Linked DNA regions of Sus scrofa. The protein of the gene in region 2 interacts with the protein of the main gene of each other region in a biochemical or structural test. Links are inferred from orthologs where the notes say so. Each region holds a gene or a part of one and is shown on either strand. Other genes may lie near its edges.

Evidence for each region.
Region 1: the proteins of FOS (region 2) and RUNX2 form a complex in vitro, tested with the Homo sapiens proteins (2 studies listed by BioGRID). The link is inferred for Sus scrofa from reciprocal best matches to the Homo sapiens genes FOS and RUNX2.

The regions. Positions count from the first base shown.
Region 1 is NC_010449.5:40,204,020-40,207,667, reverse strand, and holds part of RUNX2 (runt-related transcription factor 2), read right to left. Parts: intron 1,741-3,648; coding exon 1,379-1,740; intron 1-1,378. UniProt on the Homo sapiens protein: Transcription factor involved in osteoblastic differentiation and skeletal morphogenesis. Essential for the maturation of osteoblasts and both intramembranous and endochondral ossification.
Region 2 is NC_010449.5:98,448,512-98,452,259, reverse strand, and holds FOS (proto-oncogene c-Fos), read right to left. Parts: upstream 2,753-3,748; coding exon 2,612-2,752; intron 1,854-2,611; coding exon 1,602-1,853; intron 1,162-1,601; coding exon 1,054-1,161; intron 931-1,053; coding exon 289-930; downstream 1-288. UniProt on the Homo sapiens protein: Nuclear phosphoprotein which forms a tight but non-covalently linked complex with the JUN/AP-1 transcription factor. In the heterodimer, FOS and JUN/AP-1 basic regions each seems to interact with symmetrical DNA half sites.

The sequences.
Region 1 (3,648 bases), about 58 Mb from region 2:
GGACGGCCCGGGACCCCAGTTCCCCAGCAACCCGGGATGCTCGCAGCTCTGGGGGCCGTGCGAGGAGGCGAGGTCTCCCCGGGGGACCCCAAACGCACTCCCCGACGCCCTCAATCTGCCGGAAGAGCCGCAGCCCGCGACTCCAATTGCTGACACTCGCCCTCAAACTAACGGGGCGGGCGGAGGAGGCCGCGGGGCGCGCGGAGGGCGCTTTTCAACCCCGGGGTCACTCCCTCCGCTCCCAAATCACGGGCCCCAGCGCCACAAGACCTTTCAGAAGCAGGAGGGACCTCTGGGGTCCAAGTCCTCAAAAGTGAGAATAAGATGACTCGAATCGCACAGTCACCTCCGCTTTCAAGGCAGGCAAGCTGAAGGCATTTCACAGGTTTCCCTTCTCCCTCCCAGGCGCGGCGAGGCGGGGAGCGGGTCCCCGTGGAAGAGGCCGTCCAGCCCCCGCCCCCTTCCCTGGCCCGCGCCGCCTTGCACTTGAGGGTCTGGCGCCCAGGACTCGCGTACTCCCCGGCCTCTGGGCGCGGGGCGACCCCGGCTGCCTCGCCTTCCTCCCAGTAGCCGGAACAAGCGTGGGGCTGCAGGCGGAGAAAATGCCCCCGACCTGTCTCCCCTCACTCGCTCCCCGGGTACCTAAGTTTGCCCGGGACCCTCTCTGACTTCAGTCCGGCGGCCCACGCGCCGCCGCGGCAGCCGGCACTCGGAGCCCCTCCCCAGGCTCGAACTCCGGCGCCGGCACCCCACGAACACAGGCCCCCGAGCCCGAGAGGGGCCGGAGCCGCAGAGGCTCAAACGGGTGGGAGAAGGGGGCGCCGACACGGGCGGAGGGCGCTCGGTTTGGAGGGGAAAGGGTGGGAGCGCGCGGGATCCGGGGGAGGGGTGGCGCGGCAGCCTGAGGCGCAGGGCGGGCAGGGATGCTGGGGAGAGGGACGCGGGAGTCCGTGGGGAGAACGCTGGCGATACCCTGGAGTGGGGGCGGGGTGGAGCAAGTTCGGGCCGCAGCTCGGAGAGTGGGCACCTGGGGGCTCCTGGGGGAGGTAAGACGGCTCGGAGAAGTGGGTCAGAATGTTGGCCGGCAGGCTCCACGGGTGATGAACGGATAAAGAGAACCAGGGTTGAGGTGATGGCTGCGGGCACAGGTGGGAGAGGGAAGGATCTATCTGCACGGGGTCACTACGCCCGGAGCCCGCTGGCAGATCCGGAGGAAGAGGGCCAGACGGCGTTCCTTCGGGTCCGAGCCACCAAGATAGGAACCTTGGAGGCAGTACGGGTCCGGGCTCGGGCCCCCGCGGGCACGGAAACGCTAGCAGGCAGGTCCCGCGGCTCCGGGCAGGGGGCGGGGGGTGGGGGGGCGGCCGCAGCTTCTTACCTTGAAGGCCACGGGCAGGGTCTTGTTGCAACGCCAGTGCGAGGGCAGCACAGAGCACAGGAAGTTGGGGCTGTCGGTGCGGACGAGTTCGGCCGGGTGGTCAGCGATGATCTCCACCATGGTGCGGTTGTCGTGCGGCGGCCGCAACCGGGGCACGGCGGCTGCCGCTGCCGCCGCCGCCGCCGCCGCCGCCGCCGCTGCCGCTGCCTCCTGCTGCTGCTGTTGCTGCTGTTGCTGCTGCTGCTGCTGCTGCTGTTGTTGCTGCTGCTGCTGTTGCGCAGCCACCACCGGGCTCACGTCGCTCATCTTGCCGGGCTGCAGGCTGCTGGAGGGGGGGCTGAAGCGCCGGCTGGTGCTCGGATCTACGGGAATACGCATCACAACAGCCACAAGTTAGCGAAGTGGCCGGGGGAGGGGGAGGAGGGTGGAATGAGGGGCGAGGAGGAGGAAATTGGGGGGGTGGAGGCGAGACGGGGGAAAGGGGATGGAGGTGATGGGGCTGAGGAGGTGAGAAATCAAGTTCGATGAAGCAGACTGCCGGGCGGAGTCTGACGGGGGCCAGCGGTGGCGGTGCGGAGCAATCGGGTTGGCGGGTGACGAGACCCGGGAGGCGCAGATCTTGCTGGAGCCCTTGAAACACCCGGGGTGGCAGCTGCGAACGGGCACCAGGATGTGTTTGGCTCGGGCAGGCGGGAGACTTCACTTCGCAGCAGCTTGGAGTGGGGTCCCTTGGGGCACCGCGTCCTGGGTGCGCTGGCGCCCCCTCCCAGTTCGAGTCCGGCGGTTGAGCCCAGTGGGTTCAGCAGTCCAACCCAGAGGCCAGCATCGCCGCGCGCTGCCCGCCACCGCCGCGCCGCGCCACGAGCAGCTACGCAGCTGCTGGCGTCCGCGCCGCGCCGCCCGCCCGCCCGCGCCGCTGCTGCCGCCGCCGCTCTGCTGCGGCTGCCGCTCCCCCCGCGCCGGCTGCACACTCAGATTCCTCCCGCGGCGGCTGCCAGCCCGGCTCCCCGGCTCGGCTCCTTCCTTTCCCTTCTCCTCTTCTCGCCCTCTCACCGCTCCCTCCTCGCATCCACTCCCTCCAGCTCTTTGCAAAGCTCCCCTGACCCTCGCGCTTCGAGGCGCCAGGAGGTAAGTCGCGGGCAGCGGATCTCGGGGCAGCGGATCTCGAGCCTGCGAATCTCAGCCGCTGCCGCCGCCCGCCGGCCGCGAGAAGTAGCCCCCGGGACGCGGCGTGCAGCTTCCGAAGCCGAGAGAGGCGGCCCGGGTCTAGGGGGATCTCGCCTGGTCGCGTCCTCTTGCTTCTCACCCCCCTCCCCCCTAGAACCAGGAACCCCCTCTTGGTCGGAGGAGGTTGATGCTGAGACGCCAGAGAGCCTGCCGGCTGATCTGCCTGTCGTTATTTTTCGTTGTAACTTCAGGAGAGGAAGAAGGAAAATTCTTGAGCGTCTGTGCTGACTTCTCAGCACTCTTCACCCTTCCCCCACCCCATCCCCCCCCCACCTCTGCCGGAGCGGCTCCCAAGAGGGGTTAAAAAAAAGATTTTACAGAGTTTGGGTGTTTTTTGTCTTAAGCGACTCAAAAAAATTGGGATGGAGGGGACATTTGTCAAAATCGTTTTTAGAAACTCAAACTGTGGGTAGCCGGACACTTTTTTCTTCTATATTCAAACTTGTTCCTAGAGAACAAGGATGAGTTTCTTTAAGGACTGGAAAACTATCAACTTGATGATTAAAATAAGTTGCTAAAACCCTTGCGGGGAGGGGGGGAACCCCAGCAGTTTTCCATGAATCTCAATCTATTAATAAGTCTATTCTGCATCTAAAACTTGGTCTAATGTCTTAACTTCCCCACCACCACCACCACTCCCAAGGAAAAAAAATTAAAATACGAAATAAAATATTCAAAATGCTTCGATGGCTATTTATTTATGTATTTATTTCCCAGTGTGGGTTTAAAAAGCGACTTTGGATCCCCCCAAAAGTTGTGGTCGAAAGGATGAAGGAGCGCAGAAAAAAGGCGGCAGTTTTACCTAAAATGTGGTTTTTGGAGGCTGGGATTTCTAATGATTAGGTTTTTGTGGTTTATATAGACACGACTCTGGCTAAGGCGATCATTACACTGATGAGAGTCAGAAGCACGTGGGTGTCTCCGACCAGCCTCAAACTCTGAGCCTTCAAAACAAATAAAACAATGTGCGGCGCCCGCAGAAGCCGGGAAATCCGCTTGAGGGTATCGCACCCCTAAGAAGGGGGCACAGGGCCGTTTCCCCT
Region 2 (3,748 bases):
ACCCAGGCCTGGCTCAACATGCTACTAACTACCAGCTCTCAGATGTGTCACTGGGGACAATACACACTCCATGCGTTTTGCTACATCTCCAGAAGAGGTAAGGACTCGAGTCCACACGTGGATGCTTTCAAGTCCTTGAGGCCCACGGCCTGGTGGTGTGTTTCACGCCCAGATAAGGTCCTCCCTAGGTCTACGGGAACCCTCGAGGGAAGACGTGTTTCTCCTCTCCATAATGCACCGACTCGGGCAGTGGCGCGTGCCTGCCTGCTGCCTCCCCTCTCTGCCCGCTCACAGGGCCAGCAGCGTGGGTGAGCTGAGCGAGTCAGAGGAAGGCTCGTTGCTGCTGCTGCCCTTGCGGTGGGCAGCCGCACAGCTGGGGAAGGAGTCAGCCTCGGGGTAGGTAAAGACGAAGGAAGACGTGTAAGTAGTGCAGCTGGGGGTGCAGGTGACCACCGGGGTACACAGGGGCTCCAGCTCTGTGGCCATGGGCCCCATCCCCAGGGAGCCACCATGCAGGGGCTCCCAGTCTGCTGCATAGAAGGAACCAGACAGGTCCATGTCCGGCACAGAGCGGGCTGTCTCAGAGCCGCCGGGCCTGGACGATGCTGGGAACAGGAAGTCATCAAAGGGCTCGGCCTTCAGCTCCATGCTGCTGACGTTCTTGACTGGCTCCACGGAGGGCTTGGGCTCCGGGTCATTGAGGAGGGGCAGGGTGAAGGCCTCCTCAGATTCGGGGGTGGCAGCCTCAGGCAGGCCCCCACTCAGATCAAGGGAAGCCACAGACATCTCTTCAGGGAAGCCCAGGTCATCAGGGATCTTGCAGGCAGGTCGGTGAGCTGCCAGGATGAACTCGAGTTTTTCCTTCTCCTTCAGCAGGTTGGCGATCTCAGTCTGCAAAGCAGACTTCTCGTCTTCTAGCTGGTCTGTCTCCTGGATACAGAGGATACAGCAAAGCATAAGACACGGTCTTACTCAAAGACTCTGTTCCCTTCTACCCAGTCTCTAACTTTGCCCTTAAGTTTTCGAAAGAAGTGATCCATGGATTCTACCTACCGCTTGGAGTGTGTCAGTCAGCTCCCTCCTCCGGTTCCGGCATTTGGCTGCAGCCATCTTATTCCTTTCCCTTCGGATTCTCCTTTTCTCTTCTTCTTCTGGGGACAACTGGAGGTGGGGAGAGAGAGAGAGGGCAACATTCAGTAACAGTGCCTGCTATCAGCTCCGTTCACCCACCCTAGGAAAACTGGCGCCTGCAGCTTCCCGCCTCCTGGCACCTCTTCTGTGAAGCCATTTCTAACCTGCAGTTGCAAGCTGGGTGTGACTTGCATTTAAAATAAGAACCTCAGCAGGAGAACAAAGAGAAGCTACAAGGGTGAGATAAGAAACTATTAGGGAAGAAACTGCACATTGGATATTACTTAGGGTGGACTATTAGAGTCTGACTTGGGATGGATAGGGCTTGGAGCCGGGGTTCCCAGTCCAGGATATGTAATCAGTTCCACCCATGGCTTCACCCTGTCCACTATGCTCCCCATCTCCATCAAGACTGACCTTACCCCCCCAACCCCAGCCACCACCAGAGAGAAGGTGTTGAGAACCCTCACCTGTTCCACCTTGCCCCTTCTGCCAATGCTCTGAGCTCTGCCTCCTGGCATGGTCTTCACGACTCCAGCCCTGGAGTAAGCCCCAGCCGAGGGAGTGGGGACTCCGTAGGGGTGAGGGGCTCTGGTCTGGGATGGGGCAACCGAGGAGACCAGGGTGGGTTGCACTAGCCACTGCAGGTCTGGGCTGGTCGAGATAGCAGTCACCGTTGGGATGAAGTTGGCACTGGAGACGGCCAGATCGGTGCAGAAGTCCTAGAATGAAATATAGAAGGGGAAAGCTGACGTGAGCGACCAGGCTCTGGACGCAGGTGGGGTGAGCGGAGTGCCCAGTGCCGCATGCAGCAGGGAGAGAGTGAAAAATGGACTGCTTATGTATTTTTATATGTCCTTCATCCTGGATGAAAGGTCTCTCCCTTCCCAAGAATTCCGCAGCGCAGTGCCTTTCTCCTCCATCCTGCTGCTGCGTTCCCGTTATCCCTTCAGCATCACTCGCTTGAAAGGGGGGTTGTTATAAATATCCCTGACGTCTGCGCTGACGCAGACGCCGCTCCGGAGTCTCCTGAATGAACTCGCTTTTTATCAATGAAACTGCCTTACACACCCGCCGGCTTCACCCTCCTCCTCTCACCCTCCTCCCTGCTCCAGGCTGCGAGGGGAGGGAGGATCGCCGCTTTTTGCCTCCTCCCCCGGAGGTGCCCGGCTCTAGTTAGCCAGTCTTTGCTTGGGACACTTTTGCCCCCAGCTAATGTCAGAGACCAGTCAGAGCGCGTGGGCCAGGGTCAGCTCAGAATGAGCCCACAGCGGGAGAGGAGAAAAGATTCTTATTTTGACAAGCATGTGTGCGCTCCGAACAAGTCCGGGGCTCCCGAGATAGGGCTGATCCGGCCGGGGCAAGCCTCCCTCTCTGGCCAATGGGGTCCCCGGCTTGTCTTCCTGAGCGTCCCGTCCCAGTGTCTCCTCCCCGGTAACCCCGAGCCCCGAGCCCCGCGGTGGCACGAAGCCAGCCTTACCTGCGCATTGACGGGAGAGCCCATGCTGGAGAAGGAGTCGGCCGGTGAGTGGTAGTAGGAGAGACTGTCCCCGGCAGGGGAGGCGCTGCTGCAGCGGGATGATGACGCCTCGTAGTCGGCGTTGAAGCCGGAGAACATCATGATCGCAGGTAGTCAAAGCCGGGCGAGGGGCTGAGGGGCGGAGACAGGTAGGAGCTGCGGGGCTGAGCTGGGTAAGAGCGCGGTCGCTGCTCGCTCGCTGCGCCGCTGCCGGTTCTGTCTCAGCTTAGCTGCTCGCTGCAGATGCGGTTGGAGTACTAGGCCACTGCTTTTATAACAGCATTTTATGAATGAGCCCAATACGTCACGGAGCGCTACCATTGCAGCTCTCGAGGGGTGGCGCTCGGATCTTGCCACCTCTGCAGCCTCTTTGCTGCCTCTTCCGCCGTCTCAGCCCCCTGCCTTTCGTCTTATTGTGTTTCTTTATCTTCTGAGCTTTTCTCAGTCTCGGTCTTGGGGTCGCGTAGACCCCCTAAAATGAGGGACTTCGGGGATGGCTCCCCCCACAACTTCAGGGAACGGCCGTGGAAACCTGCTGACGCAGATGTCCTAATATGGACATCCTGTGTAAACGGGAGGGAGGGATTGACGGGAACTGCTCGCGGGCTGCAGCCAACACCAAGGGTGCAGCGCGGGGGGGAGGCGGGGGCCGTGGCCGGGGGGAGGGGAGGCGGGAAAGGCAGAGAAGGCGAGCGAACATTCGCACCTGGTTCAATGCGGACCCTTGTTCCCGGGGTTGGGGGATGGGGCGTAGGCGCCTTTTTACTTGTGTACAGAAACCCGGGAAGAGTTCTGAGGTTCAGGTATAGGCGAGATAGGTACACAGCCCCTTGGGCTTAAGCCTTGGCCCCCGAAGGAATGCGCCTCCACCCCCATTCCTCATTCTATCACTAATTCGGTGCAAACTGTGGAAGCAGACCCCCACCCCCTCGCCTCAAGCCCCAGCGCTCAGCACTACTAGGACTGTTACTGCGTTTGGAAGCGGAAAGTAGAGGGATACAAAATAAGAGAATACGATAACCTACTTTATCTACGATGCTGGGTATTTTAATATTAATTTTTTTTTAAGGGAAAAGGAGCATTTTTTTCCTCGGCCAA